3 linked regions of the Arabidopsis thaliana genome follow. The main gene of each other region encodes a partner of the protein of the gene in region 3 in a complex. Each region holds a gene or a part of one and is shown on either strand. Other genes may lie near its edges.

The links. Proteins that work in one complex are often made in the same cells at the same time.
Region 1: AT1G60900 (region 3) and SC35 share a complex: the UniProt entries of both Arabidopsis thaliana proteins name them as parts of the spliceosome.
Region 2: AT1G60900 (region 3) and RSZ21 share a complex: the UniProt entries of both Arabidopsis thaliana proteins name them as parts of the spliceosome.

What each region holds. Positions count from the first base shown.
Region 1 is NC_003076.8:25,680,646-25,685,174, forward strand, and holds SC35 (serine/arginine-rich splicing factor-like protein, putative), read right to left. Parts: upstream 2,997-4,529; 5' UTR 2,909-2,996; coding exon 2,833-2,908; intron 2,738-2,832; coding exon 2,659-2,737; intron 2,581-2,658; coding exon 2,501-2,580; intron 2,403-2,500; coding exon 2,336-2,402; intron 2,158-2,335; coding exon 2,017-2,157; intron 1,841-2,016; coding exon 1,646-1,840; intron 1,564-1,645; coding exon 1,296-1,563; intron 1,210-1,295; coding exon 1,204-1,209; 3' UTR 1,088-1,203; exon of another isoform or gene 898-1,087; 3' UTR 557-897; downstream 1-556. Other genes in the region: AT5G64190 (neuronal PAS domain protein), read left to right, coding at 1-508; AOX2 (alternative oxidase 2), read right to left, coding at 3,320-3,379, 3,622-4,110, 4,332-4,460. UniProt on the Arabidopsis thaliana protein: Probably involved in intron recognition and spliceosome assembly, but not involved in alternative splicing regulation of the SCL33 intron.
Region 2 is NC_003070.9:8,426,701-8,431,259, forward strand, and holds RSZ21 (RS-containing zinc finger protein 21), read right to left. Parts: upstream 2,786-4,559; 5' UTR 2,561-2,785; intron 2,542-2,560; exon of another isoform or gene 2,485-2,541; 5' UTR 2,465-2,484; coding exon 2,376-2,464; intron 2,304-2,375; coding exon 2,215-2,303; intron 2,119-2,214; coding exon 1,905-2,118; intron 1,700-1,904; coding exon 1,535-1,699; intron 1,398-1,534; coding exon 1,391-1,397; 3' UTR 557-1,390; downstream 1-556. Other genes in the region: AT1G23850 (uncharacterized protein), read right to left, coding at 1-345. UniProt on the Arabidopsis thaliana protein: Probably involved in intron recognition and spliceosome assembly.
Region 3 is NC_003070.9:22,421,932-22,428,597, reverse strand, and holds AT1G60900 (U2 snRNP auxilliary factor, large subunit, splicing factor), read right to left. Parts: upstream 4,705-6,666; 5' UTR 4,591-4,704; coding exon 4,480-4,590; intron 4,206-4,479; coding exon 3,913-4,205; intron 3,830-3,912; coding exon 3,680-3,829; intron 3,370-3,679; coding exon 3,302-3,369; intron 2,672-3,301; coding exon 2,595-2,671; intron 2,500-2,594; coding exon 2,452-2,499; intron 2,374-2,451; coding exon 2,314-2,373; intron 2,200-2,313; coding exon 2,139-2,199; intron 2,054-2,138; coding exon 1,941-2,053; intron 1,835-1,940; coding exon 1,388-1,834; intron 1,320-1,387; coding exon 1,184-1,319; intron 1,077-1,183; coding exon 1,009-1,076; intron 930-1,008; coding exon 792-929; 3' UTR 545-791; downstream 1-544. UniProt on the Arabidopsis thaliana protein: Necessary for the splicing of pre-mRNA.

The DNA of each region.
Region 1 (4,529 bases), on a different chromosome or scaffold from region 3:
GGTTAGCAAATCATCAAACAATCCGGGAAGAGAGTTTGAAGTCGAGAGATCTATTGAAGGCTCGTTCGATCCACCAAACTCACTAGGCTTAAGAGTTGCTGGACGAGAAGCCTCAACCATGACAATGACCCCGTGGAAATTAGAGCAATCTGTGCTCGGCTACACAGCTAATCTAAACTGGATCTTGTATGATAGCAGCGTTGGAGGAAGAGAGGTTTTTTCGACAAAGCCGTCACGGTTTTCAATAATGAGCCCAAGGTCTTGGTTTAAGGATAGGTATGCAAGAGCGTATCGGTCATTTACGAGGAGAGGAGGTGTGATATTTGCAGGGGACGAGTATGGAGAGAGTGTGGTGTGGAAGATTGGAAAAGGAGCATTGGGGGGAACAATGGAGTGGGAGATTAAAGGGTTTATTTGGTTGACTTACTGGCCAAATAAGTACAAGACTTTTTACCATGAGACTCGTAGATTGGAGTTTACACAGCTTCTTAATCTCACCATTGCTTAACTTTAAACAAAAACATGTTATTACTTCTTTGTGATCTCAACTTTACATTGGTAAAGGAAGAGACTTCAATTGTCAGTTAGTTATTTGGTAATTTATCTTTGCATTAGGTACTTTTGATAAGAATCTTAAACAGAAGATAGACAAGAGATAAGTGAAACTCAACTGAACTTTGATTTCTCAACTTAAGATTGAAAACTCAACGAACCAGCCCTTCTAAGCATTAGCGACACAAGGATGATACTAGTTAAAGCAGATAGCTGTGACCAGCATCGATCATCTACGGTTTCATAAACAGCATCGATCATCTACAGTTTCATAAACAGCCATCAACAGCTACAATCTCAACATGGTTGTGCCATCTTCCCAGTCAATTCTTTTCTCGAACCAGACTAGAAAAATCCAAGACAAGCCAGGGGAATGGAGTTAGAATGCTATGAATTCCAAACCAGAGAAGATTCAAATAAAACAGAGACTAAAAAGGCTGTTCAAACAGTAATAATTCTTGCACATGAACACTAAACCAGAACGATAACAGGAAACAAAGATACAGTCAGTACTCAGTAGTTTGAGGGCACCTACGGAAAGCAAGTAATACTACAGAGGGTAGACGTTCCAGTGCTTAATGATGAAACATCATCAGTACAAGCAAACGTGTTTTTCATCATACACCGTATCACTTTCACAAGTGGCTGCAGTCATTCCTGCAAACAAAATGTAAACAAGGACAATTCAGACATCAAGTTTCATTAGTGATACACATCTGAAACACAGTGTTTTTGTAACCCACCGCAGCATAAGGAGATTGACTTCGAGAAGCAGCATCAACTTTGCGCAGAGGAGCAGGGCTACCAGGAGATGGGGACCTCTCATTGCTACGCCTTTCAGGAGACATCTCCTTAGAAGGAGAGGCCTTTTGCAAAGCAGGGCTTCTTGGGCTGAGGCTGCGACGAGGAGATGGAGACCTCTCATTGCTACGCTTATCAGGAGAAACTTCTCTAGCAGGAGAGGTTTTCTGTGGGGAGGAACTTCTAGGGCTGCGGCGAGCAGGAGATGCACTGCATGTCAAAAAGTTGAAATCAGGATACACAGTATTGTGGAGCAACAACATGAAAAAAAGAGGTTCACAACGGAAGAAACCTCAAGGAACGACTGTGACTGCGGCTCTCATTATCATAACGGCCTCTGACTCTGCGTTTTTCATCTGGGCTGGCACTACGAGACCTAGTGCGACGACGATGATCTCTATCCTTCTCCTCATGCCTTTCACGCCTGTCATAGCTTCTGCTCCTGCTCCGCTTCCGGTAGTCTTTTTCCCTATAGTCATCTCGGGACCTACAAGTTATGTAACTCGGATGAGAGAATTATTCAGACAAATACTGTTCTTAGGCAGAGATGGAGTTCTTTCATAAATCAAGTAACAAAAGCTAGTTGACTAATAACATAACCATTATTAACTCCCACTAGTTCACCTAATCATCATAAGAATGCAGATTAAAGAAGAAACTCACCTCCTACGAGGACTGCGGCTTCTTCTGGGACTACGACGTCTAGGCGGGCTACGGCTCCTCCTAGGACTACGACTCCGCCTAGGACTACGGCTTCTAGATCTTCGTGACTTCGGCGGTGGTTCCACAACTCTTCCTTTGGAACTGTCATGAATCATGATAATAACAAACGAATCAAAATACAATTACAGATGCAGCTTTTTACGTGATAGAAGTTCCAATTGCACAAATAACGGAAACGGTCTAAAGAGGAAACATTCATAGTGAGCTCCCGAATATCAAGAGTAAACTTGAACAATCATTGGCAAAGAAAGAAGCTTACATTTTTTCAGCATTTGGCCCATATTTCGCAAACTGAACAGTTATTTCTCTGCCATCAACAACTCTTCCTGAAACAGAGAAAGAAGCTTCATGTTGAATCCAGGCACCAAAAGCACACAACAAAACCAAGAACACAAGAGAGATAAGAAGATCTGGATAATTATACCATCAAGCCTTTCCACTGCTTTGTGAGCTTCGTCTTTATACTTATACCGAACAAACGCAAAACCACGCGAATCACCAGTCCTATAAATTGACACAAGACTCAATGACAGAAATCAAGAAACCCTAATTCCTCAGTCGGAGAAGAAGAAGAAATTGGACCTTCGATCTCTGGGAATAAACACATCAACGACCTTTCCATACTTTGCGAATAGAGGATAGAGATCATCAGCAGTCGTACCTACACATAACAACAAAACCTAATCTCTTAGAAACCCCCAGTTCACGAAAATTGATTAGAGGTTGAGAAACAGAAATAGGGACTTGAGAGATTACGGAAGGTGATGTTAAGGACGAGAAGTGAGTAGGTGTCGCTGATATCCGGTGGACCTGACCTTCCGAAGTGCGACATGGTTTTCCCGCCGGCGGAGAAATTGGGAGCGCGAGAGAGAGACGAAGTGAAATTAGGTTAAAGCTTTTCTGAAACAATGGAATCTACTAGATACGGGGACATTTTTTTTAAAGCTTGACGTTGTTGTTAATTACATTTGTACCCCTTGACGAAGACACAAAAAAAAGAAGATAATCGAACCGGATGATACCGAGTTTGGTTCGTATCGGTTCAGCAGCGATTGGGACGGTTGAGACGCAATTTTATTATAGTCTGAAACATTTTTACCAAAACAATTCTGCAATTTACAAACACCGGTACATCTCTAACACCTTTAAAACATATTTTAGCACATTCAAACAAATTCATATCCAAAATCATTAAAAAAAACAAACAGAAAAACTCCAAGTAGGATACTCTTTTGAAATTGGTTTAGTGATAACCAATCGGAGCTGCTGCTTCTCGCAACTCTTTTCCTTGATTGCGAATGTCCTGCAAATAACTCACAATATTAACAATTCAAAAACACCACACAACATAACAAATCCACAGATTTTTAAAATTCATTGATTTATATTAAAAACTATGAACTTGTATGTATCCACACACCAAATGTCGTTGATTCTACTACTTATATCATTTGTTATTTTAATATCACCGAAATGGACCCGAAGAAATGTATGAAACTCGGGAGTTTTGGAAAAAAAATAAAAGGGTTGTTGTTTTAGACTCACAGAAGCAAAATGGTTGACATCTCGATGATGAGCTTCATCAGCACGAATCACCGTTACAACATCTTTCAACGTAGCATCTTTAGGCAATCTCCAATAATCAATAGCAATCGCGGGCGCGGCAACATTCTCGATCTTCCCATTGTCGATATCTTTAAGAAACTCGGTGTAAGAATGTATAGCTTCTTCCTCTAAATATCCAACGACCCTATGAGCTAACCGCGGGGAAATCACGTAACAAACGAAAAAAGAGTTGAAGAATATTCCTTGAACAAGCATCACTAGAAGACGCTCGTACCATTTGGGTTTGACTAACTCCATCATCGTCATTAGATGCATCCTCTCGTTCTCTGCTTCTTCGAGTAATGCTTTGATCCAACCGCCGCTATGTTCGAATTTTCGGATTGATTTTAGGTGAAGAAGCATTCCTCCAACCATTCCTGGTACTGCAGCTACTGTCTCTAGCATCATCGCTCTGCATCCATATCGTCTCTGCTGACCAAACATATATTTAACATTAAGGAACAAAAAATGTAAAACATTAGCATGTGAAGTGAAACAGTGAATCCATACGTATGTATATATGTGAATCATGGTAGGATAATATGTGCATACAAAATTACAAACCAAACCAAACCGAATCAGCTAAATAAACCAATGAACATATTAAACGAATCAACGTTTCATTTTAAAATTTGAAATTACAGTCATGCCTGAAAAAATATATCGGTGGGAATACGGAGGAGCTTGACAATCCGGTAAGCGACTTTGTCGGCGATATTCTTCGGAACGTGGTGCTTCTTCAAATCTATCGACAGATTTGCTTGATAAGTCTCCCATGGCTGTTCAAAATATACTTAAGTCATATATCTACTACATATAAAAGAGTGCTTAATTTGTCTACGAACTTT
Region 2 (4,559 bases), about 14 Mb from region 3:
GTGAACAGTCCAAGATGCAGAGACTATTGTGGTGGTGGTGAAGAGGTCTATGAGGCCGTACGGGAACAAGTAGAGTAGAAATGTCTGGATAAGCAATGGAATCAGATTCTCCAAGACGGAAGCATCTTGAGGAACGTAGTAGTAATCCCAATTAGTGAGTTGTCGAACGAGGTATTGAGAAGCGAGTGAGACAGTGGTTTGGAGTGAAAGCTCGAAGAAGATCAAGAAACAAAAGAGGGGGAGAGAGCAAAGGAAGAGGAAGAGAACAAGATTGATGTTACCACATAGAAGCTTTGTTGCTCGTTTGAGTATGTTGATGAAACCTAGATCCTCCTCAATCTTCATCTTCTTTCACAGTTCTCTTCTTCTCTACAAAGAAAAAGGGAGAGTACAGATCTACTACAGTTTTTTATTCGTAAATATGGAGTCGTTTCTTCATTGACGTTGACGTAAGAATTGGTATACCAACAAATCTGAACCAAATTGCCTCAAAACCAAATTTAGAAAAGTATTAAAATGAAAACATGTGGCGGCCGAAGAAGAACAGATTAAAAGTCGAGATTAATTGGGAAAAGAAAAGCATAAGTGGGAAACCAAATCATGAACACAAAAGACTAAGCTAACACGTTTTTCACAAGCAATATAAAAAAGAAGCATCCACAAATGGGTTTAATTTAATGTAAGTGTGTGATCCACCAACAGATGTGTAACAAAGTTGACCGAAAAACAAAAGTGAGTAGAGAAACCAAGTGGTGATATAGCAGCCGAGAGCTAGGAAGAGGACGGGGTGAAGAAACAGATTCGTCTTTCTCAATAGAAGCTTGGTTGCAGACTTGGGGTAGGAGTGGTGAGTAAAGAGCAGGGCAATCTAAAAGTCACACAATGTAACAAGCAAATTCTAGCTGATGTTGGTCGAGTTGAGGATGCAGATTCATGATAAAACTAAGTTGTGGGGAGAGTAAGATGCAGCTGTGCTGCCAAGAGATCCCCGATAAATCATACCTCACAAGGGAAAAAGAGTGGAAACAGTTGAGCTTTTTAGATATGTCTATATAATAAGGAAAGTGCATTCAACAAGAGACAAAACATTTATGGATACGAAAGAACGACCTCAAGTGTAGGGGTTCAAGGACGCTGTGTGAAGACAGCAGGCCAGTGCGTGTTATAGAGAATAAGTCAAGACGGCTGTTGGAAAACAGCATGAAGGAGAACTCACCAAATCCAATTGTCTAATAAAACTCGAACATACCATGACATGTCCATGCTCAACAACCAAACCTAGAAGAGCTAATACCATAATAGCAGATATAAAGATCTATCCTAAAAGGCGCCACAGAGTAGATATAGCATCATAGCTTAGTAATAGCTTCTTTCTCTTCAGGGTCCAGTTTCACACCCTGCAGAAACGCAAACGAATATATACCTTATATCAAAATACTTCAAATGTTATTCACATCTACATAGACAATGCTGAAGTTGAGTCATGCAGATTGAGAAAGTAAACCTAAATCCAAGAAGAGAAAAGAACTTTTACCCATTGGCATATGGCGAACGTCGACCATAGGGCGAGTCTCTGCGGCGAGGAGAATCACGGCGTGAACCACGATAAGGAGGGGATCTGCTGTAGCTCCTCCCACGGCGAGGTGGAGTAACACTGCGACGCCTTGGAGGAGATCTTCTTCCACGCGGGCTTATACTCCTGAACAAAATCAATTCCACAGGAACAAAAATGTATGTCACAAAGCGATTATAACATCAAGAAAGGTACTATCAACATTAACAACTCAGCCCCTATACATGATTACAAAGTGCAATTTCAATGGATATGTTAACACAATGGACATACTAATGACATACTATCTCATCTAAGCAGCTCAATAAGAATGTTTCCGTTGGATCGTTACCTGCGAGCATACCCATAATCTGGACTCCTACGACGACGGGGACTAGGGCTTCTACGCCTCACAGAGCCTCGACCACGGCGACACTCGCGAGCAAAATGTCCAAGCTCACCACACTCATAGCACTTGGAATCCTCAATACCTCCACGACGACCACCACCACCTCCACGACCTCCTTTATCTTTATGAGAAAGCTCCACACGCCACCCATTCTTTCCTGAAGTATACGCCACAAGAGTAAAACTTTTCAATGACCAAACAATAATACAAACATTACATGGTAACTAAGAGGTCTAATGAGAAGAACACTAACGATCCAATGCGCTGATTGCATCCAAAGCATCTCTTTCGTCATCGAACTCGAGGAATGCGTAGCCAGGAGGTCTACGAGCTACCCAGACACTGCGATTTTTAAGATTCAGAGTCATAATTCGTATGGCTTGAAACAAAATTGAGTACAGAGATAGGACTTACTTGCGAAGAACACCGAAGGCCTTGAATTCGTCTTCGAGTTCTCTTTCGGTGACGCGTGGGTCCAAATTCCCGACATAAACCCTCGTCATGTTGCAAAGATCAGTTGAATCTGAACGAAAGAGAATCGAATTTTGTGAAGAAATATGGATATCGATAATAGTTACAGCGAGTAGTTAACAAGGTACCTGAGATTCTTGGTCCTGAGCAGCGAAGCGGGATGTTTTAGGGTTCAGACTCAGACTACGGCGAGGAAAGAGAGTAACCAAGTTATTTCATTATTATATGAAAACTGAAAAGTAAAAAAAAATTAACATCATATATTATTTGGTCATTTATTAGTTATTTCATGGTCCCTTATTTTTCGGTAATCCATATATTCATAAACAAAGTTTTAGCGACCAAAATGTAAGACTAGTCTCCCATAGTCGATTAGTTAACGTAAAAAGAGAATTGAGGTGAAAGCGGATTTTGAAACTATGCAAAACATCTTTGACAACAAAAGTTATGCAAACATGTTTCTAGAGTTTGATGTCTAATTACTGTAACTTGACGTGATTCTCAGTCTGAAAAAAACTAATGGGCCTAAAACCCATAACCTTTTGGTTAAAATTTTAAAAATATGAGCAAGTTTCAGTTGCTTAATGGCCCATATGAGTTGGTTTTGGTTTTCAACTTTTGCATCAGTACTTGTATCTTCTTAAATTTTCAAAATATAGTAGGCTGATTAAATCTAAGTTTGGAGTTGGCAAGTGTAACAATTGTTAGTTTTACATATACCTTACCAATTTACACATGATTGGGCACCTAATTCATGTGAACAAGTCTCTAAACGATTGCACACACACAAAAAAAAAAGAGTCTCATTGTTTAAAATTGCGTCGACGTAAATAGAAAAGGTTTCATCATCCCACCAAAAACAAAAAGACACTTATCCATTGGGGAAAACATTCTGAACCAAGATAAGTCATGCTGGGTCCCACTTACATCGACTCCTCTAAGACTGTGTCTTTGACACGTGTTTAGTTATGATTCGTTTATTTGCAGCCACTGTGTAGACCCCACTTACCTCCTTTTACAAAATCGACATTCAATTTACACGTGTCGCTATTCCCTGGCTTGTCCCTTAAGCTGGACATGGGAGGAATAAGATACTCTTTAATTTTTGGATGGCTATGGCTAAATAGATGGCTCAGAAGAAATAAGATGGCCATAACTTCATTCGTTATCCAAAGCTAACATTAATTGGTTAGTATCAAAATTTCTAAAATTGTGAAATATTTATAGAATATTAGTATTTAAAATTATATCTAATTGTATAAAAATTTTGGGGAGTGATTATTAGTGTCATGTTACTTATTGTAACTATCGTTGTGCATATCAATAAAAATATACGGATTTCAATTTTAAACCTCACATTTACAGATATTTAGTTAGATATTTAAAAGGGATATCTGCAAAATGGACAATATAGATATTCGATTTTTTTTATCGTAGTTAACAAATGCATGATATCATGTATCATATTTACACATACTATTCTTTTTTTTTTAAGTCTAGTAAAACGGATAACGGGTTGAAGAAGGATAAAAACATTTGTATCCAGCCAAGCCCTAAATTGGTATTGTCAAGTGGAAGAGCAAGAAAAGTAAAGAAGAAGAAAGTGTCAATCTGATTCGGATCCAATTACCCAATCCTCGTTGGCTTCCTAAACAACGTGAAAACAAAACACGGCTTATATATGTCAACGTTATTTACATTGACACTTGGAACCATTAACACCAAATGGGGATAATATCGTAAAATAACACATGGTTAGTACTTTAGTGACAATCCTAATGCTGCTTTGTCCCTTGGGGGGTTTGAGAGGCCACCCTGACCTACGTGGTGCCCTTTTAATATCAATACATTCCCGATAATGTGTGCTTACATGTTTTAATTATCTTAGTTTAGTCATATAATAATGACTTCGCTTTTAACTATATTATATTTACTATATGTAATATGTACATGCATGTTGCATTCCCAATGATGTTTGTTCCATTTTTATGTCTTTATCTAAGACTTTTAGTAAGACAAGATAACTCTAATGATCTTTCTTTTTTGTTAAAGTAAGAATATATATCGATTCAATTCATCTTATCAATATGGATATAGTCTTAGATCGTGTGTAGAAGTTTTGTTTTT
Region 3 (6,666 bases):
TTCATATATACAAATCATTTTCTACTAAATATGAAAAAAAATTTATCACTAATCTACATTATTGATGTGATATGGAACTTGTTACATTATCAAATTTTAATTATTTTAAAATTCTTTCATTTTTTTTAACTTCAAATTATTGTTATATATATTTTAATAAATTATAAATTAATGTGTTATCAGGCATAACTTCAAGTTCGTGTAACATGAGATGTGTCTTGTGAAAGCATGACATGTAACTTTCGTTGTAAAATAAAATAAAAAACAAATGAGCTCAGATATGAGGCTATATTATCCGATTCATCGGAGAATTGCTAAGGACCCAACCTTAGCTTAAAGCAAATTTCATCAACGCTCAAATGCACCAGCCGGGAATTGAACCCGGGTCTGTACCGTGGCAGGGTACTATTCTACCACTAGACCACTGGTGCTACTTGCCTACTATCTTACTTTTCTAATATAAATCCAGTATTTCACGTTTAGTGAGAGCAATTGCACATGTTCCAGCATTGCATTTAGAAACTGATGTGGTTTGGTCTTTTAGTTTTTAAAAGAACAATAATATAAACTGATGTGGTTTGGTTAGTGTTCAATGAAACCAAAAGCTACTATTACCAACACACACCTTAATTGATTGTGCCTGGACAAGTACTATTGCAGTCAGATTCTAGACAAATTTCTCCATTTAGTAGAGAGAGAACTAAACATGTAAAAAACTTAAAAATAAAAAAGAACCAAACTTGTTGCTAAGAGATCCAAACTAAAAGCTTAAGAAGAAGACGATAGATAGCTCAGTCTTCGTAGTCGCCTTGGGCATACTTGTCTTCGGGGTAATACACAGCCACTACTTGGTTTCCTCCAAATTTTCTTCCATTCATCCCCGATCTGGCCTTTGATGAGCCATCCACATCCGCATACTCTAAGAAAACCTGCATTAGTATTACCATTAGAGTATGCAATTTATATATGAATTTGGTAGACATTTGTATCTGAGGACTGAAATCTAACCTTCCCAACTCCTGGTGTTGGGTCATGATCTGGATTAGGCCTCGGAATCACAACATTCACTAAGTTACCTACACACACAACAATGATTTATCAAAGTTCATTTTAGACCATGAGCCTCAGTAATGTGCTATTGGTATAATGTCAGAACAGACAATAAGAAAATCTAATTGCTTACCGAATTTTCCACCTTCTTGTCGCATGTCCTCCATTATCTCTGCATATTCTTCATCGTCTCTAAGATCATCAGCTGTAACCACTTGAGTCAAACAGACAATCTTGGTGGGAGTACCTCCTGGTTGGAACATAAGCCTCTGCAACAAAGTTTGAGACAGATTTAGCATTACTGATCATTTAGATAGAGTGAATCAGAATCCTTTACCTGCAAAGCAATCTGTTGTTGGGCATAAAGTAAGACTTCTTCTTGCTCGGGTTTAGGTTGAATTGCACCCTGGATTGCACGCCTAACTGTAAGTGTCTTATCACCCATCTTAATCCCGTTTAGAGCGGCACATGCAATATCTGTTACTGACGGATCTTGGTAAACACAGAATGCATATCCCTTCGAATTTCCAGTCTCCCTGTCTTTGACCAAGTTGAAACCTCTTAGGGGCCCAAAAGACTCCAAGAGCTCCCTGATCTGTACCTCTGTGAAGTAATAGGGAAGTCCGCCCACAAAAATGCGGTCGGGACCCTCAAGCCCACCAGTAGACCCTGAAGACAATCCAACAGCCCCTAAGTTGAGGTTGGGATTAGGCTGGCTCGGACCAAGAGTTGCAGCAAGAGACGGGTTATAGTCAGTTGGCCTCCTCACCTTTACAGGAACTCCCTAGAGATGAAAAAAGCTATGATTTCAGATAGGTTTCAATACTCATAATACAGATTGTAACTAATAAACACCAAACATCTAAAGTGTAGAAGAGCTAATAAATCACCTCTAATATAATGCCGTCTAATGCCATTGCGTTACTAGCCTCCTCAACAGATCTCATCTCTACAAAAGCAAACTTCTTTTCGTGGTTTATATAAACATTGACCACCGCATCACCTATGAATTAATAATCCAAAAAAAGGATGAGATTTCGTATAGACTTGCGGCCAATATGACAAAAATATAATGAACTTTTCAATACCTGGCCCAGCAGTGTTTCCCCCAATGGCCGACATCACTTGGCTAAAGAACGTTGACACCGACTAGGACATGAAAACCCATTCTCAGTAGGCATACAATGGATATTGAAATGTGGTTTAAATAGACAATAATAAACAAAAAGTCACAAAACCTTAAACAAAACAAAAGTAACAAACCTGTTCATTAGCAGTTGGTGGAAGGCCACCAACATAGACTCGCCGAGCATGCCTAGTTGCCTGCGACTACATATTTTAGGAAGGGAATCGTGACAAAAGGTGAAGAACCTAAGAATAAGATAGATTGATAGATCGTACCTGTTGAGTCATTGCCTGAACTGGCAGTACAGGAAGCGCACCTAGTTGCTATGTGAGAAAAAAGATTGAGAAGTTCTGAGCATGTTCGCATAAAACAAAAGAAAAGAGGAACATAAGAGACACAAAAATACAAATTTTTATACCTGACCAGGGACCATTGGAAACATGTTTGAGAACATCCCTGGAATAGTAGCAGTAGTTGGCACACTAGGAACCTGGCCTGCTAGGTAAAGTAGTATGCGTCATAAAAATGTTTGTTAGATACATTATTATGTTTCCCGGAGGAGCAGACCTACCAACAAGTACAAAGCTACAGATAACACCTTGCTACTTACAAAACCCACAAGTAGAAAGTATACCAACAACTTATGAATATTAAAATGAAAAGTTGTGATGTAATATTCGTTTTAGTTGTCAGAGATTGTAAGGCTCGAAAACAGGCATATAGTTGCCAGTCGAAGATGAAAAATACCCATGACAACCGTTGCACTGATTCCTCCTTGTACAATTAAAGCTAGAGAGGTCGGCTCATTGTCAGCACAGTGGGGCAACTAACCCAACATAGCCTTCTTACTACAAAAAGACAAGACACAGAAACAAACAAACACCACCAAAAAAACACAAACAAAAAATTTCTCAGTTCCAGAACCACCAGTCAAACAAAAATAACAAGACATCCTATGAAGAAAGCAAGACTTCAAAGTCCTCTTTGTTCACGAGTAAACAATAAAATTGCAGCTTACCAAAGTCACACCGTGTAATTGACTATGATCTTTCCAAACTACGTAAAATCAAAAACAACAAGCAGTTAAGAAATATAATAACCCTGAGTAGATGATGAAGCAAATACCTGCTGCAGCAACAGCAGTAGCAGCTAACATATCAGGAGGCGCCATATCAAATCCACTTCTCCTCTTGCTGAAAGAGCAAAATATAATTGGTTAGACATCAGTAGAGACGAGTTCGAAAAAATAATGCCAAGTAAACGTATGAAACACACATAAACATCAATGACCCAGATCAGACTAAAATATTGGTAATCATATAAGGAGGGACCGTTCAACCCAGTAGAAGACCATGATAATCATATTGTGTCAACAAAACAAAGACATCAAATACTAAACAATAATGGTTTTATTTGATTTGACATCAATATCATAACACATTGCAATGTGGCCACGGAAAGAACTAGTTAGAAAAGATAAAAATAGCAGGAGAGCCCAGGTACCTCTTTGACCTTGATCGCGACCGTGAGCGTGATCTATGTTCAGACTTATGTCTATGTTCTGACCTTGACCTACGTTCAGAGCGGCTCCTTGACCGAGAGCGTGACCGTCGCCTGTGTCTCACCTCTCTGTCTCGATCGCGAGACCTCCTCCTGTCGAGAAATGACTACACCTTCAATTTTAAGAATAAAACAATCTAAAACTACAAAAACAATTGCAACACACTAATGAGTACCTATCACGGTCTCGACTTCTGCGATGATGATCATCATCCAAATCATCTCTTTTCTCACTACGTTCTCTGCTACGGTCCCTATGACGATCTCTATGATGACGGTCTCGTTGCCTATCCTTACTTCTCTCCCTATCCCTATCTCTATCTCTGCTTTTCTCCCTATCTCTGTCTCTGCTCTTCTCCCTATCACGATCCTTCTCACGATCACGATCTTTGTTTCCGTCTTTATCACGTCCATTTTCATTGTCTTTCTCACTGATTTTCGAAGAATCCTTTTTAAGATCATGAGATTCCTGCAGGAAACAAATGTCAAAAGGCTTCTCTCATATACTATCCCCAGATTTCTAAAGAGAACATATGAACTTAACATGATAATATATACTCTAAATCCAGTGAATCCTTCAAATCAAACTATCAAAAACATAAATTCAACAAGCAGAATCCGAGAATTGTACCAAATTACAATACAAGTGGAGAACAAATTATGATTACCAGTCTAATTCACGAGAGAAACCTAAAAGCTACAGAATCGAACGCAAGATATGTAAAGAAGAAAGTGTAACATACTCGAGACTTGGAGTCTTCATGAAAAGGCGAGCTCTCTAGAGATATGTAGTTCTCGTTGTGGTTTTCGGTGGAGATAGCGACACCATCTCCGTTGCCTTCGTAACTCATCATCCACTTGTGATCTCTTCTCCGATTGGTACTTATCGTTGAGTCTGATTGTGTATGGAAGAAAACCCTAGGGATTCTAATGGAGGATGAATTAAAAATTATGAAGATTCTTCGAGGAAGATGAAGTGATATATGGGTATTATTGTAAATTGAACAGTATTTTTTGGTGTTACACCAAAACCGTAAATGGGCTTGTCTAGTCCAAATTTGAAAACTAGGGTCTCATTATACTTAATGGGCTTATCAGCTTTATCGGCTTATAGTCTAAATTTTTAGTTTCTATCACCAAAAAAAAAAAAAAACTAAATATTTTAAAAATTGATCATTCTAATATTGTTTTACATTATTATTTTTTGTGTAATTAAGGGTTGATTATTATTAGATGTCTTTGTTTATGACTTTTTAAAAGTGTGTTTTATAAGTCTTTATCTGATAGTTTAAAGTCACATATGTTTCTAGGCGTAACTAGCAATTGAAGATGAAAGACCACGTTAAAACATCACAAATATCTCCGGCGTTTAGAGGTTTCTCTCACCATGGATCAAATTCAATTGTTGACACAAAATATTACAAAAAAAGAAGAAGTTTAAATTAGCTTTCATTTGACGGTGGTTTGAAGTTAAACGTACTGATGGATTGGAAAAACATACGATTCTAGTGAAAACAAGTCAACCTAACAACATATATTGCAGAGACTGGTCCACACTCGATCCCTTCATGGACCGTAGCATTCACGGCCAATCAATCTGTTCATTGAGTTTTGACTAGTGTCAATAATTCATAGGATTTTGTTTATATGAAATAACTTTGATATGAGTCAATAATTCATACGAATTTGTCTTTTTCTGTGCTTCTTGAAGAATCCTTTTCAAGATCATGAGATCCCTGTTTTAAAACGGAGATGTCCAAGGCTTGCTTCGTCATAAGTACGACGAAAAGTAAAATGCAATTATATCTTCGAACATCTCTAGATCCTATTATTAAAACACTTAGGGTTACTAGGAATAGATTCATGTGGAGTGTGAATTATGAAGATAGATATTTAGGAGCCCATTAATCGTTTAAAATTATGGCCTCATTATGATTCATTGGCTTAATAGTCTTATTTTTTATTTTATTGTATCCCAAATATATACGTTTGGACACAACCAGTTTTACGGTAGAAAGATTCGAAACATCCCCATATTTTTATAATTTGACTACCATAATATTGTAGAAAGAAAGCATAGCTATTAGAGACTAGTACTTACCAGTTTTTTTTGGGTTATTTTATTTTTAGTTCTAAAACTAAGATAGTTACAAAAACAGATGATTCTAAATATTATTATGTAAATTCTAAATTGATTAGCATTAATTTTAGTACAAAACCTAATAAGCATCATTACAATAATGAAAGACTGCAAGACCATTGGATTGCTAACTTATATATATATATATATATATATATATATATATATATATTGGGTCTTATTAATAATATAAAAATTTACAAGTTTTTTACCTGGTAGTTATAATGGTAAGATGGTACATAATGATGTATAAAAAAGAAAAAGAAAAATAGTACAGAAAAACTGTAAAAAAACAGTGTAACAATTTTGATATTTGATTGATAAATTTATAAATTGTAGAAATTGTAGTGCTTTGATTTTGTTCACCAATCAAAGCCATTGTTTGTTCAGTTTGTCAAACAGTCGACAATAGAAACAGTCATAAAATGGTGTTCTGATGTTGGGCCCAAAATTTTCTTTTTAATATTACCCTTAATTTTAATATCCTTTTCAATTGGATTTCTCTTTTGGTTTCCTTAAGGCAAAATTTTTGGTTGACTAGAGAAATATAGAAGAAAATAGAGAATGGGGGCAGAGATGCATGAATGATGAAAGTGATGAAAAAGGACGAGAGGGAGAAAAAGAGAGATAGATGATAGGTGATGTGACATTGACAAGTGATGGAAACTATTTAAAAAATAAATTTGGTGAATTTGAAGAGGTAGAGACAACGTAAAAGTTTTATATTCTCCTAAACAGTTCTATTTTGTGTTTCGTTTATATTTATACTCCTATTTCTTTTCTTTTACTT